Coturnix japonica: one gene and its partners. The protein of the gene in region 1 interacts with the protein of each later gene in a biochemical or structural test. Links are inferred from orthologs where the notes say so. Each region holds a gene or a part of one and is shown in the gene's direction. Other genes may lie near its edges.

What was found.
Region 2: of the proteins of CHEK2 (region 1) and PPM1D, one has a biochemical effect on the other in vitro, tested with the Homo sapiens proteins (2 studies listed by BioGRID, with this or other methods). The link is inferred for Coturnix japonica from reciprocal best matches to the Homo sapiens genes CHEK2 and PPM1D.
Region 3: the proteins of CHEK2 (region 1) and PPP2R5A form a complex in vitro, tested with the Homo sapiens proteins (2 studies listed by BioGRID and IntAct, with this or other methods). The link is inferred for Coturnix japonica from reciprocal best matches to the Homo sapiens genes CHEK2 and PPP2R5A.

Annotation. Positions count from the first base shown.
Region 1 is NC_029530.1:6,771,394-6,777,850, reverse strand, and holds the start of CHEK2 (serine/threonine-protein kinase Chk2), read left to right. Parts: upstream 1-2,514; 5' UTR 2,515-2,524; coding exon 2,525-2,870; intron 2,871-3,703; coding exon 3,704-3,828; intron 3,829-4,060; coding exon 4,061-4,208; intron 4,209-4,565; coding exon 4,566-4,656; intron 4,657-5,158; coding exon 5,159-5,267; intron 5,268-6,189; coding exon 6,190-6,243; intron 6,244-6,457. Other genes in the region: iron-sulfur cluster co-chaperone protein HscB, read right to left, coding at 882-973, 1,083-1,130, 1,489-1,633, 1,750-1,839, 2,084-2,180, 2,250-2,476. UniProt on the Homo sapiens protein: Serine/threonine-protein kinase which is required for checkpoint-mediated cell cycle arrest, activation of DNA repair and apoptosis in response to the presence of DNA double-strand breaks.
Region 2 is NC_029534.1:6,711,912-6,717,594, reverse strand, and holds part of PPM1D (protein phosphatase 1D), read left to right. Parts: intron 1-1,957; coding exon 1,958-2,082; intron 2,083-5,683. UniProt on the Homo sapiens protein: Involved in the negative regulation of p53 expression. Required for the relief of p53-dependent checkpoint mediated cell cycle arrest.
Region 3 is NC_029518.1:19,370,338-19,376,020, reverse strand, and holds part of PPP2R5A (serine/threonine-protein phosphatase 2A 56 kDa regulatory subunit alpha isoform), read left to right. Parts: intron 1-1,749; coding exon 1,750-1,842; intron 1,843-3,672; coding exon 3,673-3,803; intron 3,804-3,977; coding exon 3,978-4,037; intron 4,038-5,151; coding exon 5,152-5,260; intron 5,261-5,683. UniProt on the Homo sapiens protein: The B regulatory subunit might modulate substrate selectivity and catalytic activity, and might also direct the localization of the catalytic enzyme to a particular subcellular compartment.

The DNA of each region.
Region 1 (6,457 bases):
CTTTACAGAAGAATACATGGCTCATAGTCTGAGGTGTTCAACCCAAACACGATCCAACCCACTGCAAAGCTGCTGTTTATGATCTGCTACTGAGAACATTAACTTAAGTCTGCGGTTGCTGTTTCTTAATATCAATAATCTCAGTGTAAGGTTTAAGAACATCAGATCCCTATTAGTCCTCATGCACAGACACGGGCAGTCCATCTCAAGGCAGTGTGACACTGATGTGATTTATCTTAATCAGGTTATCTTAAGTGATAATGAGGTTTATTAGAAAGCTTTGTTTCCTAGAATAGTAGTAATAAAGCAGTTATTGGTGTTTGAGTTGCGTGTTTTGTGCTTCGTGTCTTAATACTTCAAACTGTCCAACAGGGCTTTAAATCTTCTGCTCATTTCTGAAGGAAATTTCTGAAGGATGTTTCCTGGCCCATTGAAATCAACATGTCCAAAAGCACAAAGGAGCAGCAAGGACTGATGATGATGATAATAGTAAGAAAACAAAATCAAAATCATTTCACTTTTAAAGATGTTTCCAAGGCAGCTGGGTAGGATGCTCAGCAGAGCTGGCTGAGCTTTCCCTTTGATCTCCAATGTTGTGCCCAGTGCTTTTCCTCAACAGAAAGGAAACTCTATGGACGTTAGTGGTAAAAACTCATAACTGCACACTGTGAGCACCTCTCTGATAGTTTCCACACCCAGAACTCCATGAGGATGGTAACCTCAGGCACGTGATGCAGCTTTTCCTGGCTGCTTTGTTTTCCTTCTCTGAGAGTTAAAGCTTGTACCAGAGGTGTAAGAGGCAAACACCACTTGTCTGTGTTTGGTGCAAGTCAACAGTTTAATAAAAGTTACATTAATTCTTAATAGTAAATGAGATGCTATCAGGAAGGGATCTTCTTGTTCTTTAGTTTGTCCTCCAGGTTTGCAAAGTACTTCATTTTGGCAAGAAGCTTCTTAGCTTCCTGAAGGTCATCTACAAAGAAATTAAAACAAAGAGGATTATTTAAGAGGAGGGCACAACTGTCATTTTCAAGGTGAATCTGAAGGTTTCCTTGCCAGCAGCTATTTAATAAAACAATTACCTCTTTCAAAAGCTGCAGTCACCTCTTTGGTCAGTTCTTCTTGTCTGTCTGTAAAACAAATTATCTTATTCAGCTTTTGCTTCATATTTGTATCTAATACAGCCGTGCTCAGTCTGTGGTGTGGTCTTTTGGAAGATAAGAGCTCCTTGTGTTAGCACTGCCAGCCTTTTTCCTTATCCTTCCAGCAGTGTTTCTTTATTGACACAGCTCTACAGCCAGCAGTACCTATATATATACACACACACACACACACACACCAGTGGCTGCTCACTTCCCAGCAGCTCAACTTGCTTTGATCTCCAGCACTGCACCCAGGGTTCTTCCTCAATATAAACCCCACACGTTTCAGTAGACAATACAGGGATGTAAAATTCACTCGGTACAAAACCCGCAGACCGAGGCCCACCTTTAATTAACGTTTCTATCTCCCCGAGGATCTCGTCGTTCTGAGGCTCTGCTAATTTCTCATTGATTTCCATGATTTCCATGAGAAACTCCTTATCCTCATCGCAGTCCGTCTCCTGCGCCGGCTCCACACCGCGCAGCTCCAGCTGGAGGAAAACAAAACAGCTATTTGGAAACGTGAATATGGGCTCTCTGAGTGTGAGCACTGAGCGGCTGCGGGGCCCTAAGATGGGTGTGTGGATCTGCCCATCCCAGCACTCACCAGGTAGAGGCCGCGGCTCAGGGGGTGCAGCAATGTCTGGTAGGCCTTGTTGATGAGGGAAGAGTGCTGCTCCGAGTAGTGCTGCTCCTTCTGCCAAAGAGTAATGAGTCAATAAGCAGCGCACAGAGCGGTGACCCTGCACACACCCATGGTCAGGGGACGGGGCTGTGAGCGCTGATGGAGCTGTGGGTGTCCCTGAGCACTGCAGGCAGTGGGAGCAGATGCCCTCGGGGGTCCCGTACGACTCCCCGGAGCTCAGCGGTCCCGGAGCTCGGAGCCGACACAGCGCGTCTCCCATAGGGCAGCGGTCGGTCACTCGCGGTCGGTCACTCACCGCCGGGCTCTGTCCGAAGCGGTCTGGGTGCAGCGCTCGCTGGAGGCTCCGGAACCGCCGCTGCAGCCGCTGCGTGTCGATGCGGAAGGAGCGATCACTGCGGGCGACACGAGGCGGCGTGAGCAGCTCGGCCCGCTCCGCTCGAGTCCGCCCCGCCGGCACTCACCACTCCATCAGGCGGAACAGGTCGGGACGAGGCTCCGGCGGCTGCAGGGCCCGGCAGCGGGGACAGAAGTGCGGGACCGCATCGAGGCCGGACAGCGCGACGCCGCAGCTCCAGCACCGCGGGGACGGGACGGAGCCGGGTCCGACGCACCGCGGCCGCGGGGCCAACTCGGACACACGCAGCGCCCGCCGCGCCCGGCCCAGCTGCACCCGCAGCGCCGCCTGCATCGCCCGCACTACGGCTCCTCCCGGCACCGCGCCGCCATTGGCCGCTGTATGAGCGCGGCGCCTGCGCTGTGCGGTGCGACGGGCGGGGCGAGCTGTGAGCGTGGAGCCGGAGCGGAGTCAGTGCGGGCGGTGGGTGCTCCCGCCATGTCCAGAGAGACAAGGAGCGATGTGCAGCACTCACAGGGCACGCAGCCATCGCAGGGCGGAACCAGCTCCTCCTCCAGCGCCTCGCAGGGCGCCAGCCAGTCCTCGTCCAGCTCCGGCACGCTCAGCTCTCTGGACACGGTGCCCACGCAGGAGCTGCCCTCCATCCCCGAGGACCCGGAACCCGACGAGCTCGTTCCCCAGCCCTGGGGTCGGCTCTTCGCGCTCGGAAAAGGTTTCAGCAATTGGGGTACGTCACCGCCGGCCCCGCCGCCTGTCCGTGCGCCTCCTGGCTGTGTCGGGCCGGGGATGCACCGTGCCGTTCTATTCTGTTGCCGTTCCATTCCGTGCCGTTCCATTCTGTCCCATCCATTCTGTGCCGTCCATCTGGCCGTTCCATTCTTTGTGCCGTTCCATTCTGTGCCGTTTCCATTCTGTGCGTTCATTCGCGGGATCATTCTGTGCCGTTCCATTCTGTGCCGTTCCATTCTGTGCCGTTCCATTCTGTGCCGTTCTATTCCGTGCCGTTCTATTCCGTGCCGTTCTATTCCTTGCTGTTCCATTCGTGCCCATTCCATTCCTGGTCCCATTCCATTCTGTGCCATTCCATTCTGTCCCGTTCCATTCTGTGCCGTTCCGTTCCGTGCCGTCCCGCTGAGCTCCCGGCTGTTTCTGCTCGGAGTCCGTGTCTTCTCCACTGCCTGTCTGTGTCTGTCCGCCCCGTAGCTTGGTTTGGTTCGGTTTGTTTCTGCATTGTGTGAATATATCGCTGAAGGTGAATGGGAAATGACGCTGTTATTCAATGGAATTGCTGATGTATGTAGTGAAATTACAGGGTCATGGAATGGCTGAGGTTGGAGGGGAGCTCAGGGATCCCCCACCCCTGCCATGTGCTGCTGCACCCAGCTCGGGCTGCCCACCTTCCTCAATGACGTATTGGTAGCATATGGCGTTTCATTGGAATCAGGAGAAGTAAATGCTGATGTCTTTGTTATCATGCTTTACTATAATGTAAGGCATCGTTCTGCAGGGCAGTAGTTAATAACTGCCTCAATGCTGTGTTCTCTCTCCCATGCTCTGCAGACTGTGTCAATGACGAGTACTGGTTCGGAAGAGACAAAAGCTGTGATTACAGTTTTTCTAAGCTCGGATTATCTGAAACTGGGTTTTACCAGAACTACAGCAAGAAGCACTTCCGAATATTCAGGGTAGGTGCTAAAAAGGTTATTTCTTTTTCTGTGTATGGCCATAATTGAGAATGGTGAACCTTTGCTGGGATCTTATTGAACACAAGGTTTGCCATGTCCAGCCCGACTTCTTTAACCAGGCGCTGAGTGATGTTCCCTCTCCATGTTTATGAAGTACTCCATTGAGCCAACACTGCTGTCGTCCTTTTCTTCGCCATTGCTCTCTTTCTGATTTCTTTTTCTTCCCTGTTAGGAAACAGGACCAAAAAACTCCCACGTTGCCTACATTGAAGACCACAGCGCAAATGGAACGTTCATTAACAGAGAGCTCATTGGGAAGGGGAAGAGGCTGCCGCTGACTCATAACTCGGAAATCGCACTATGTATTCAGACTAACAAGGGTAAAATACACCGCGATGCATGTGGGCTCTTTGGGTGTCAACCAGGAGGTTCTGTGTGCTGTGATCTGGATCTTGTTTGGTGAATACCATGTGGCTGCAGTAATAAGAACAGCCCTAAGTTTATCGCTGTGTTTGGCGCAGACCCAAGGTCTCACTTCTCAGTAATGAGATTTCCTGCCTAAAGCATCATTGCAGCATCAGCTGATGGGGTTTTGGTTTCTTCTTCTTGCTTTCCTATTTCCGTGCTGTTTCCAGCAGGCAGCATTTGCTCAGTTGTGTTGTTGACTGTTAACAGCTTGGGAAGTGTTATATAACCATTTTGAAGTAACAGGACGATGCTCTCCACCCATCTCCCAGTGTTTGTCTTTTCTGACCTCACGGTGGATGACCAGCTGGTGTTTCCTAGAGAGCTCCGAGAGAAGTACATCATGTCCAAGACGTTGGGAAGGTAAGAATCCTTCTATCAGAAGCAGCACCTTTCATTTTGTTACTGCTTTCGGTACCTTGTGCTACCTGAGCACACTGTGCTGGGCTTTAATGAAGATGAAACACAAATGAGACGTGGTCTCATTATCTATTACTTGGAATATCCAGAATCATAGGAGGGTTATCAGAGATACTTCAAAGCAATTGGTGGTGATTTCTGAATTAATTGCTCAAGATTTGAAACTATCTTACGACTATGTTTCTATTTACTTTACATGCAAGAATGTTTAAGTACGTTTGTAATTGGTTGAAATTGGGGTCTGACACCATTTGGTGCTTAAATACTATTGAATATTGTCTGAGATAGTTTTGTCCATCTGTTATATTGAGAGAGCTGGAAAGCTGCAGCCTCTGATTGCACGTAGTCTTAATGAGGTGAGAGCCTCCTGTTCACGTCAGCACGCTTCTTAGGCCGAGTTGGGAAGGTATCTGTAAGCATTAACACAGCTGTGCTTTCATGCTAGCGGTGCCTGTGGAGAAGTCAAACTGGCATTTGAGAAGAGCACTTGTAATAAAGTTGCAGTAAAGATCATCAACAAGCGGAAGTTTATGGCCAGTGGTGTTAGAGAGGCAGTAAGTACCTTTGCTTCTGTCTTTTGACCATCTTGCAGCTGTTCTCAGATACGGGCAGCCTTTATCTCTTACTCTCCAGTCCTCTCCGATTAAAGGGGGTTTTCTGACTTAAAGTTTTCTGTGTGTGATTTCTCAATGGCATTTGATATTACAGAGTGTATATAACTGTGTAGCAAATGCTTGCTTTTATTCTTTGACCAAACTCTGTTAGGACTGATGCCTTATATACAAATAAGGGGGAGTGTGGAAATCTCATGGGGTGTCATCTCCTAAAAAACATCAGAAAGTTACATTACAGGGTGGTCTGACCAGAGGCCTATAAGCTCAGCTAATTGTGTTGTATGTTCATCATAAGACTTGGTATGGTACAAAGCCTGCTGGGGAGGGCTTTCCATGTGCCTGCTTTCATAGCTGCTGGAGAAAGAGGAGCCATGGCTGGAACCTAACAGATATTCAAACAACTTCTGATCGATCAGTGCCATTTTATGTAAAGATACAGGATGAACTGTGAAGAAAAAATACAAATAGAGGTTGAAGGTGAATGAGAAAGGAGATACAGATTCTGCAGCTATGGGTTCACTGAAGGTAAAACAGGTTAGACTAACCTTGTTAATTCTGCAGGATTATATGCAAGCTCAGTGAATGCTTCTCTAATTTCCAGTTGTACAGGTTCAGAGGAGGAAAATGCAGATATTTTCAGATCAATCTGTTTATTTTCTCTAGCACAATGAAGAGTAATAGTGAGTAGCATTTAACTTCAGGGGTAGCTCATGTGGGAAACATCTTGAAGAGAGGCAGTTTGAAGGGCAGTGCTGATATCTGCTGGTCAAGATGAATTGTTTAAGTTGGATCTTAATTTCTGAAGTGTCTTATCCTAAAATATTGCTGTGTGACTCCATGTGGTATTTCATTCTTTTCACAGAGCCCAGCTTTTAACATCAACACAGAAATAGAGATTTTGAAGAAAATAGATCATGTGAGTGGCCCTGTACATTTGTATTCATTTTGCTGTGTACTGCTTTGCTGACTTAGCATAATAATGATCGATTTTACCTGTGTAGAGAATGATGCGTATAATTATTGCAGCCTAAATAAGTCTATTGAGCACGTTTCAGATTATTGTATCTTTGCTGATAGGAGGTTTTGAAGTCTTGAATAACTCAGATGTAAATTTGGGAAGGTGCTTTGCA
Region 2 (5,683 bases), on another chromosome or scaffold:
CTCGTGCATTCTTCATTGTTCCTGAGGTGATACTGGCAGCTGTTGAGTAGGCTCTTCAAAGCTTCTGTTCAAAGAGTATAAAAGACGTAAAATTGAAACAAGATACTGTTTTTGTTGCATTTAAATACATGCTTAAAATGTTAAAATGCCACATTTTAACACGTATCTCAATATTAGTACTTTCTTCATTGTCAGGAGCCAGCAGATGTTAGAACATCTGAGTTGTGGTTGATGGATGTTCCCTGTAAATGGGGAAGAAGGCAGGCAGCCTTGTCAGATGGCACTAATGTTTTGAGACAAACCTCAGGGCTCGGATTTGGCATGGCTTCACAGGAGCTCGCTGTTCTTTCGTTCCACAGTACTGCACCAGATGGATGGGCAGAGTTTCCTTCTCTTAGCAGTTCAGAGGGAGAAAGCACTGGAGGTTTTCCTGTTGACATCATTCACACAAGAACCCTGTCAGCTCGTTAACCTTCAGATATCTGTATCGCTAGCAGGTGGAAGCTGATCAGATATCTGTATTTGGGGTGGGAACTTCTCAGAAAGGGCAACTTGCAGCTTTGCTAAGTTAGAGTTTGTAAATGTATGGGTTTCCAGGTTGTTCATGTCAGTGTTTGAAACTGAGGCTTTGGAGAAGCGTTCTGAGACTGTCTATCAGCAGGAGCAGTTAAACTGTTTTAGCAACTTTTTCTGCTCCTGCTTCTTCTGTTTTGTTCTTCTGGACTGGCTGGTAAAACCAGTGCAGGCTGTTGTGTAGCCAACAGTGGGAGTGTGGTGGGACTGCCTCTGTGTTTATTACTGTCTTCTCTTTTGTTAGAGAAAACTGGGATAAGTTAATGTGAGGGCATGATTGAATTGTATATTAAAAACAGTATTTTCAAAGTAACAGTCCTGGAATACGGGCTGAAATCTTCCAGATGAAGGCTGGAGTTAACATTGTGTAACTAATAGTTGTACAAATGGATGAGATGAATTTTAGGCTGTGGTGCTTGCTGCACTTTCATGCAGAAGGATGGAGCTAAACGTGCCTTTGTTGTTAAGGCCTTTGAAGTCTCAGGAAGTGCATCTTGAATAGCTTCAGTATGAGGAATCTTGAGGCTGGTTCCAGAGCGCCTCAGTTTCTAATTACCGATGGCTGTTCCTTGGATGAAAGCTAGCTTTTAAGCATCTAGTTCTTAGTTTGATTGGGACCAAGCTTTGCTTGTTCATTCTTTCATTACCTTGCTTGGTACCTCATGCTCTCCCTTCTCTCTTTCCTACTTCTTCCTGCCTCGTTATAGTGTGTTCTCTTGCATAGTAGCTTCTCTTTTGACCCTTTTAATGCCATTTGTGAGAGCCAAAACGATTGTTTGGTGCACAGAGCAGGAGCAGGTGTTAATGCTTAAAGGCAGGGCTGTTTCTTCCTATGTCGTGCTTTCAGCAGATAGCAGCTATGAACAATTCCTCTTTTTATTTCTCCCTCATGTTGGTGCACCAATAAGGAAATTCCTCCAGAAGGCTGCTCTTATTTTTCTGCTCTTCCCAACTGTACTGTGCTGCTCTTTACTGCCAGACTTTGGCAGATGGAGAAAACTAAAGGAGAAACAACATGATATTTTCACTCAAGTTGATGTTGATGGGCCTCATCTAAGGAAAGCAATTTGTCTTTTGCTTTTTTGCTGATAGATTGAAAAGATACTCTTACATCTGGCTGTTGCAGCCAGCCTTAATTTCTTCCAAGTCTTCGTCCTCTTGCTTTTTCTTCTGCCCTTCATCTCTTGCTTTTGCATTTAGCTTAATGTGGAATGAGGCTATCCAAGTGATACCAGGTGTTCTGAAATGCTTCATTGTGCTGTGCACCTCTCTGAAGATGCTGTCGTTATTGAGTCTGTATTTGCATATTTAATCTTAAGTCATTGAAACAAGCTTTCATTTCCATTGCTTTTTATAACGCCTGCTCCTTTCTGACGATTTTTAGTGTCATCAACAAGTCTGGTGTGAATCGTGTTGTCTGGAAGAGACCTCGCCTGACTCACAATGGCCCTGTGCGCCGCAGCACCGTCATCGACCAGATTCCCTTCCTGGCTGTGGCCAGAGCACTTGGTAAGTGGCCCCTTGTGTGGGAAGAGAGACATCTGCACACAGCCCACCAGAGCTGAATTATAGCCTGCTCTGCCAAAACATTTAGTTTAGAGGTTATTCAGTCACTTGCTGTGATTATAAGGCTTCCTAAAAGTATGGGCCCTAGGAGTATTTTTAATACAGTGCAAGTTTCACTTTTCAAATGGAGCTGTGTGAGGTGGCATTGGCGAGCAGAGGACTGGTTGTACAACATGCAGAACTTCCATTCTGTTCTGCTAAGGATGGTACTTGGTACTTCCTCTGTATTGCAAATGGAAATGTGGTGATTGCCTCCAAGATGTACAACGTAGTTGGTCTTTCTCTTACTCAGACAGTGGGACTGTGGTTTTTTGCTACATGGTGGTGAGATTGTTCTGCTGCATAGCAACCAGAGTGCTTTCTTTTTGTCTCTTTGTAAATCTGTCTTCTTCAAGACAATGTGGAGTTAAGAAAGGGGTAGAAGTCAGCCTGTGTGCTTTATCTATAACTTGCTATTGCAGTAGTGTTGGTAATGGAAAACTATTTTGAGGAACGCTCTAATTGGGGGGTGAAAATAAACACAACCATGCCTAGCAAGCTTGTTATGAATGCTTTTTGGGCAGTACTTAATAACTTGATCTTTGGCAACTTCTTGCCCACGTGTATTGGTATTTTCTAGCCAGCTGTTTTCCTTAAATTTTACTGCCAAAATCCAGTCTTCTGCTGTTCGCTTTCCTTCCTTTCTCCCTCAGTGAAGAAATCTCTATCCAGATCTACTCAGTATAGGTTAGATTCTATGGAAATATAGTATCATATAGTTTTTTTTTTAACCTGCGAAAACTGCTCTATGACTTAATTTCTTGGCAAGCCTGGTGGTTACGTGATAATGTTGTCAGTGTTCCTAGATCAGCTGGCAGTGTGTCATAGGGACAGTCTGTTCCTGGGACTGTGGTCATCTTGTGATAACTGCATAACCTTAACTGTGTCTTATTTCAGAGGCAGTGATGTGTGGTTTGCATGGATTTGTCTTTGTGTCAAGAACTGTGCAGTGGTCTTACCTTGTAAAAGATACAGCTATAGAGGCTACAGGTGATTGAATGGTGATCTTTTTCATAAAAATTGAAGTTTTCTTTTTCTCTCTGTATCTTTCAAGTCTCACTGTGTATCAGTGTAGGCAAGGTAGCTGCTTATCTTATGGTTAGTAAAACCTACTTGAGAAATTAAGTCCTTTGGAGCTGATAGATGGAGATCTTTGATAGTCATCTACCATGTAACATCACCTTCTTTATCTCTTTTTCTACACAGTGTCTGTGTTTGTAGGTTACAAAATGTGGGTATAGTTATGAAATTAACTGCAGTTCTTTCATTTCTACACTTTTGAATTTGTTGTGTAAAACAAAAAGAACCTTGATGACTTTTGATCCGGTTCCTCTCAGCAAGTTGAACAAAAGGATTTGGCTGGGTTCTGCATGCAGATGGGAATTCAAGGAATGATGCATCTGTTAGCCCCTCTAGTGCATTCTTTCCAGTTATGTGGATGAGGGGGATTACTGGGGAGCTTCAGGTCTGAAGAACAAGAACACTTTGTAACAGTACTTGGTGTCAAAAGTTAGAAGACCTAAAAGACATTGAACACCTAAAAGGGGACTGTGCCCTCTGCAAGTCATGTAGGAGAAACAGATTTACAATGTGATGGTGTTTTGGTATTTGCCTGCTCAGGGAGCCTCCGAAAGCCTCTTTGCATTCCCTTCTGAGGAGGTGTGACAAAGCTCCTGCAAAAAGGAACGCAGCTGCCTTGCTCTGCAGGACCCAGATGGTGCACAGACGCTCGCAGTTTGGAAACAGGATTTAACTTCTTTCTGAGGCCAGCATGCCCCTTCCACTGCTTACAAAAGATCTACCACAACTAAAACCATTTGCATTCAAGCTATTGGAGGCCTGCTCGACCTCTTGGCTGGCTCCCAGGTTGCTACCCTGATTGGCACAGCTCTGCTACGCTGGAGCTTCTCCAAGCTGAGTAGTAACTGGCAATGCTGCCATACTGGTCACCAACACTCTAGTCCATCCCCTCAAGATCTAGCACAGAGAGTCCTCTTGTTAACTCCAAAATTGCTTGTTATTCTTAATAGAAACCCTGTGCTGCAAAGGTCTCAGGCTTATTATGTGGATACTCTTGTTGCTGCCCTGTACCTACAAGGCAAACAGAGCTGTGTATTTATTATCCTTAAAGTGGAAGGTTATCTGATTATTTATTTATTTATTTATTTTGTTTAAGGAAATTTAAAACATAGATGTTTGTTGTGTGAGAGATAGAGAGACAGCTTTTTTCATTAGAACATAATAATTTATGAGAGTTTTCTGGCATCCATAGCTTCATAGTAACTGTCCACTTCATATGCCTGTCCCTATAACAGATGTGTGGTAACTCACATTACTCAGAACCCCTTGTGTAATGCAGGGATATGAGTGTGCAAATTGCTGGGTGCTATACAACCTAAATAATCAGGAACAGGAAGCCATTGTGTAACTTGCTTGTGTGTTTTGAAGAGTGTATGTCATTGCATCATGCATTACTGTCTCTCTGCCACAGATTTGCAACTTGGATTTCTTCCATGTGGCACCCAGGAGGGTTTTTAGACTCTAGTGAGCATGCTTATGAATGTGTGTCTTGAGGGGAAAAGCACTGAGAGAGAAAAGAAACTAACTGTGTGTATATATTGCCTTGTAGTGCTTCGGCTGTGTTAGCTATTTAAATACATTAACTTAGACCTTCAGTTTCTGGGACAAAATGCAGGATGATAAACACGAGGCTGTGACTGAACTTCTGTTCTCACGTGTAGGATCCATTGTGTTAAAAATGGAATGAAGAATTCGGATCTATGGAAGTGAGTTCTGGAGTAAAATCTCTCCTAGCATCCGTAGTGCTTTCAAAGATAGTGTACAAAGTAGGGGAGGTATTAAAAAAGAATAGTCTGAGTTCTCAGTGTCTTACAGTGTAACTTGACGCATCTTCCTTGATTTTTATACAGGTGACAGGCCCACCCCCTTCTGATTTTATTTCTTTGGAGTGCCTCCAAAACACAGAGCTGGCTTTTTTGTATTAACACAAATGTCCTGCTGACCTCAGGAAGGAGCTGTGTACCACAGCAGTGAACTCTCAGTGTATGGGTGGCTGCTGTGAGAGCGTTGGCTGTGGCACTGATGTGGGAGCTGCTTTCTAGAGCACTCTACTGGCTGTGGAATTGCTGTTGTAAAGCTCTCTGAACACACGTGCCATGAAGGAGACTATGGCTGACCTCAAATGATCTGCTTTCATTCTTGTGAGGCTCTAATTCTTGGTGTGCACTTCAGTGTGTGTGTATACAAACATTCAAAACCTGCTGCCAGGTAGAACTGGCTTAGTTGCGTGATGGTATTTGATTAAGCTAGTAAGCAATGTAACACTACGCAGTGTTTCCCAGTTTTACTGATAATGCTTTATATCCATGTACATGTCATATATATGGGTTTCTGCTCTTGTCCTGGAGATGTCTTACTGTAGCTTGTACAGTTTTCTCCACCCTTGAGACAGACTGTGAATGTATTCCTGTACAGAATGCAGAGA
Region 3 (5,683 bases), on another chromosome or scaffold:
TCCATGGCTCTGCTAGGGCATTATGCTTTAGCCTTGTTCTTCTGCTGGGTGTTTATCCCAGTTCCCATATCTATTTATGGAAAGGAGCCATAATTGTCCTCCCTCCCTGCCTTCCTTTAGGGTAAACAAAACAGACCTATTTAGTCTTGGCTCATAACAATTGGTACTCTGGCCCATGGCCATTCTTGTGGCTCCTCTGTATCCTTTCAGGTCTGAATGTTTTCTCTAGCATGTATGGTACTTCACATCTCTCTGTGTTTTGTCATTATCTTATTGGAAAATCCCAGCATTTCATTTGTCATTGCTGTGGCTTTGCTGTGTAGCTGCGAAACTTTGTCATTCTAATAATCAGAACTAGTATCCGATCCTTCTCTCACCTTCAAAGCTTGCTGTTCCTTAGTAGAGCTTTTTCTTATCTCTTTGACTGACTTTGTAGTCATTTAGTTTCATCCTGTATCTACCTTGTCCTTTTCTTACTGATAACCTGATGTTCGTTCTTTTTTATTTTATTTTTTTTAAATCAAGCAATAGCTTCCAATATTGTGGCTCCATTCCAGCAGCTTTCAGTTAACTATTCTTGTTGTGTTCGTTGATAGAAAGATGAACTGTACAAATTCAATACACAATGAAATTTAATTCCAGCATGAATTCCCATGGTACCCTGTTAACCTCCTTCCGGTCATGTGTCCCATTTCAGTACAAACCACTGACACATTTATCGAATTTCTAGCTTGAAAGAGATGGATTAGCTGTGGTTTAGTACCTCTTCTAAGTGAAAATTGTTGAAATACGTGCCTCTATCTGTTACCTCTGCAGTCCAGGCAGTATGTTTGTATTTATTTAAAGTGTGCTTTACTATTATTGCTTACAATTTAACTATTCCTGAGTTGAGAAATAGGCATTGAAAACATGAGGCCCTGAATGCAGCTAATCTGAAGATATCTTTCCTTATGAGATGCCTGAACTATGTTTTATAAGTTGGAAGGTTGCATGTGTTCTCTCCCACCTGCCACTGTTATGGATACACAAGTTTGTCTTGGACTTGTGTTGAATCCAATAGTGTGGGACTTGTGCTCTGCCATTTTTGTGCCTCGCTCTGCTGCTTCAGGCCTTTGCTGCCTCCATCTCCTCTCTGTCTGTGGTCTGTATGGGATCATAGTGAACTGGGGACTTGAAGTCAATAGAAAGAATATACTGCAGAATATACAGGATATTGAAGGTAAATCTGCAGGAGGTCTTACTGTTTGAATGGAGTGCCTGGAGTATAGAATACAGAATATGTAATGCCGTGCTAAGCACTACAGTTTGTATGTATTTCTTCAGCTTTATCAGTGTGACCATTTTAGTTGCTTAAATCTGAAGCCTGTCTTCAGGAGCACCGAGCAAACTTTTCTGAATCTGATTTTAGGGAGTTAGATGCTGTTAGAACACTTAATTTTACCCTCTGTTTAGAAGTGTTTGGTAACTTATTTCTACGTAATGCACTCTTAATGCAGTAGGAAATGTGAATTTGTGTAATACTTCTACTTTGCTGTGGAGTGGTATTTTCGGTTATTGATTTATTAAGCTTAGAATCTTCTGGGAATTAAAATGCATTTGGTGCTTACAGTAAATTGCACTAGAGGCCATGACGGTTTTCATGCGTAGATGTTAAGTACGTGAACAGCCCCAGTGACTCGAGTAGGGGATAAGATCCACACCACGGTGCACTTACTGACTTGTTCAAAATTCTCACTTTGCTCTTTGCAGTTGGTGTATGAATTTTTCCTAAGATTTTTGGAAAGCCCGGATTTTCAGCCCAGCATTGCAAAGAGATTCATTGACCAGAAATTTGTACAGCAGGTAAGTAGCCAGGTTTCCTACCTCAGAGTTAAAGATTGCCTCTCAGGCATAACTGCTGGTTGTTCAGATGAGGCGATACTAAAAAGCTTTCACTCTGACAGAGGGTTCAATTCCAGTTGTTTCAACAGTGATTTCTGCCAAACAATGTCTGCTGCGCAGACAATAATTAGTAATTAGCAACTGCAGAAACGCTTTGTTTTCAGGTATTAGCATCTTTGCTTTGCAATGCAAGATTTTTATTTTTTGTTAATGTAAGCTGTGTTTTAATGATTAGTAACTTACCTCCAGTCAAATCAGCAGCGTGCCAATGGCACTGGTGTAGTGCTTTCATGTTTGTTTTCTTCGTGGAGATTTACGATGGGAAATCTTACAGCAAAATTGTTTTTCCGATGAATAAGTAGCTGAATGTACGTGAAATGTGTTCCAACATGTGCTGAGTTATTACTGGATGGTGTCATTCTCATCTTGTGGTGTATTATATGCAGAAGGAAAATTAAATGAGAAAGCTCATGAGAAAATAGTGTAAAGTTGATTCACCGCACGAAGTAACTATGAAGAAAAATGAAGTAGGATGTCACACCTCACATTGGGCTGGGTGATACTCTAACATTTCTTGTCCAAGGTTACCTCACTGGGGATTTTTACTGTGCCCAAATGCTCATTTTTTAAAGCTTGAGTGTGAAGAGGCTGTCACAGTACAGCAGTGAGAAGTGAAAACGTAGATGAATGCTTCCACTTGCTGCCTTCAGTGACTGCTTATATGCTTGCTTCTTTGGGTTTGCTGTTCTTGTTTGTAGGTGTTCCCTTCTTCTCTGTTTTGTTCAACTTTCATACAAAATTCTAACCTGAATCTGCTGCTGAGCATTGGTATGTGCGTGTCCAAGTCACCGACTGGCGTACAGTTCTTCAGAGCTGTGTTGCAGTATTTTAGCTCCTGATGTTTCATGTAAAGATGGTGCAAAATACACCAAGCTGTCTGTGGGGAGAAAGTGCAGTGGTGACCCTGAGAAATTCCTTCTGAATATGGAAATGAAATGAGCACAATTCTTAAACAGCACTTCCCAGTCCCTGCTGTGCTTGGTGTAGGTGTTGGAGAGCTTGCAGATCTGGACTAAGCAGGAGGCTGTAGTGATTGCTGGAGCTAAGTTCCTGTGGGGAGGAAAATGTATTTAACAAAACCAAACAGGTTGGGGGAAATGCTGCCATTAGAGCCAGACAGAAATGAAGAAACTTGTACTTGGTGATTTCCCTCCCCTCCCCAGCTCGTTCTTAGTGCATTTGCATTCTGTTAAACATCTGTCTCCCTCTCTGTCCCCCAAGGAAATGTGCATGATTCTTATCATAGACTTGTCTCGCAAAACGATTCTGCAGAGAATTATGCTTGTGTTTAACCTTGAAGGCATGAGTAGCATATCGAAATGGGTAGAACAAGATTTCAATTAAGAAATCATAAATGTATGACACAAATTTGCTTCATTCTAATTTCTTGAAGGCTGAGTACAAACCACTTACCCCAAATTTGATAATATCCTTCTTAAAATTTCATCATTATTTTGACAGGGTAATGGTTGGAATGGCTTTGTTGATGTCTGCTCTATGCAGACTTTTCAATATGAAAGAAGTGAAACTGCTGGGTGCACTTAAAAACTCAGCTTTATTCAAAATCTGATTTTGAAAATAACATTGGATATCTAAATAAAATATTAAGTCAGACCAGTTCTGTTTTTTCTAATGCAGACTTTGTAAGTTAAAGATGAAGCTGAGCTCGATTAGGAGCATGACAAAATGTAAGTCTTCCTAATGTAATACATTTCAATTTAATTTTTGAAGTTATTGGAGCTCTTTGACAGTGAAGACCCACGAGAACGTGATTTCCTGAAGACGGTTCTTCATCGAATTTATGGCAAATTCCTTGGCTTAAGAGCATTCATCAGGAAACAGATCAATAACATTTTCCTCAGGTATGCTCTGTCTGTATGTCTGTGCAGGTCGAGTAATATTCTACTTTTCCCTTTGTAGTCTGTGACTGCACTGAAAGAGCTGGGTTGGATCTGTGATTGCCTTTCAAATATCTAAAATTTGTTAGAGATTATTTACTTGGAATCTGCTTCCATTTTTGTCTTTCTTTGTGATAGGTTTATATATGAAACAGAGCACTTCAATGGTGTTGCTGAACTTCTTGAGATATTAGGAAGGTAAGTTTGAACTGACAGAAAAGATACAAAATACTGTGGGCAATGCTCGCTTTGGTTTCCTTGCTTTGGGAATGGGAAGACTGTTACAGTAATGAGTGATGAAGTGCAGCCACTGATGTAATTGAATCCTGTCTGGGTTACCATGTGAACATCTAATTAGGATATCGAGTCTAAATCCTTCTTTTTCAGTGTGTGTTTTAGAGATGGCAGGCAAAATATTTCTCAGGAGTCCTCCCTTGTTGAGGAATATATCAGAGTTTTTCTTTGCTTTGGAAAATGAATGTTAACTTCAGCTCTCAAGTTGAACACAATGCTTTACTTCAGCAGGCTGACTTTGTTCAGAGTGTGTTCATGAAAGCCTTGAAAGTATCTCAGTTACTATTTTTGTCACTAATTCAGTTATTTAATTCTTACTTTGGAAGCTGTTTATGGTGTCTTTTTAGTAATTTTCCAAAGCTGACACAGGTGTGTTTTATGGTAGAAAACTATAACCACAAGTGGCTTAACAGATTGTGAAAGGGATCGGTCATCATGGAAACCAAGCAAACGGGATTCCATTTGCTCAGGTTTATCTAAAATCTGGGGAACAAAACCTAAGGCCTTCCCGAAGGGCTGTCGTTCTGTGGCTGACTCTCACAACAAGGTTATTGAATCAACGACCACTTGGAAGCTTTTTTTCTAGGGGGAAAACTTAAAACGTATTTTCAAACTGCGCTGTTGTAATAATTAAATTATATGCCATCTATTTTGTTCCTCTGCAAGTTGTGTTTAAGTGATTCGGCATGAAAGGGATCAGCTTCCTGATGTGTATGAGCTTTATCCTTAGGCAGCAACCTACTTTAGATAATTTTACCTGAAGGAGGTGATGGTGAAAGTCCTCTCCTGAGTGTCAGTGGGCTGCCACTCTGCTTCTCTCAGCTGGCTGCCACGATACCAAACCTTTAGAGGCTGTGCATATGTGAAGTTATTTTATGGCTTCATAATTACCGGGGTTAGAAATAGAATCAGAAATGGCATTTCTGAATGTACAGGAATTCTTTACTTCTTGCTAAGAAAATCTTGTTTTTGTTTTGAGTTCTTCATAAAAGTAAATCCTGCTTATTCACGTTTTCAGTATTATCAATGGTTTTGCACTGCCACTGAAAGCGGAACACAAACAGTTCCTTATGAAAGTTCTGATTCCCATGCATACTGCAAAGGGACTAGCTTTGTTTCACGCACAGGTAAGCTTTCACCTGTTTTTAAGAGTAGTGCTTTTCTTTGTATTTGCATTTTAAACTAATGGAAGTTTGAAGCAGTGTGCGTTACAGTGTCAGCATCTGGAGCTATTTGTAAATGTATTTGCTTTTTAACATCATGCAGATCTTGTTTATAAACATTAATTTTGAGATAATGCTTAGCGTGTATTAAAAGTGAAGGAACATAACAGTGATTTGAACTCACATCAGCTGAAGTGGGAAGCTTTTTGTTTGGCGGTCTGTCACACTGAGCTTCATTTAATCCCAGGCCTTTGTTCTGTGCTCTTATCACTTTTTAAATGTAGCCTACATGCTGTGTATCAAGGAACCCTGAGCATGGCCAGGTGCTTATTTCAGAAGTGCTTTATTTTATTTTTATTTTTATTTTATTTTTATTTTATTTTTATT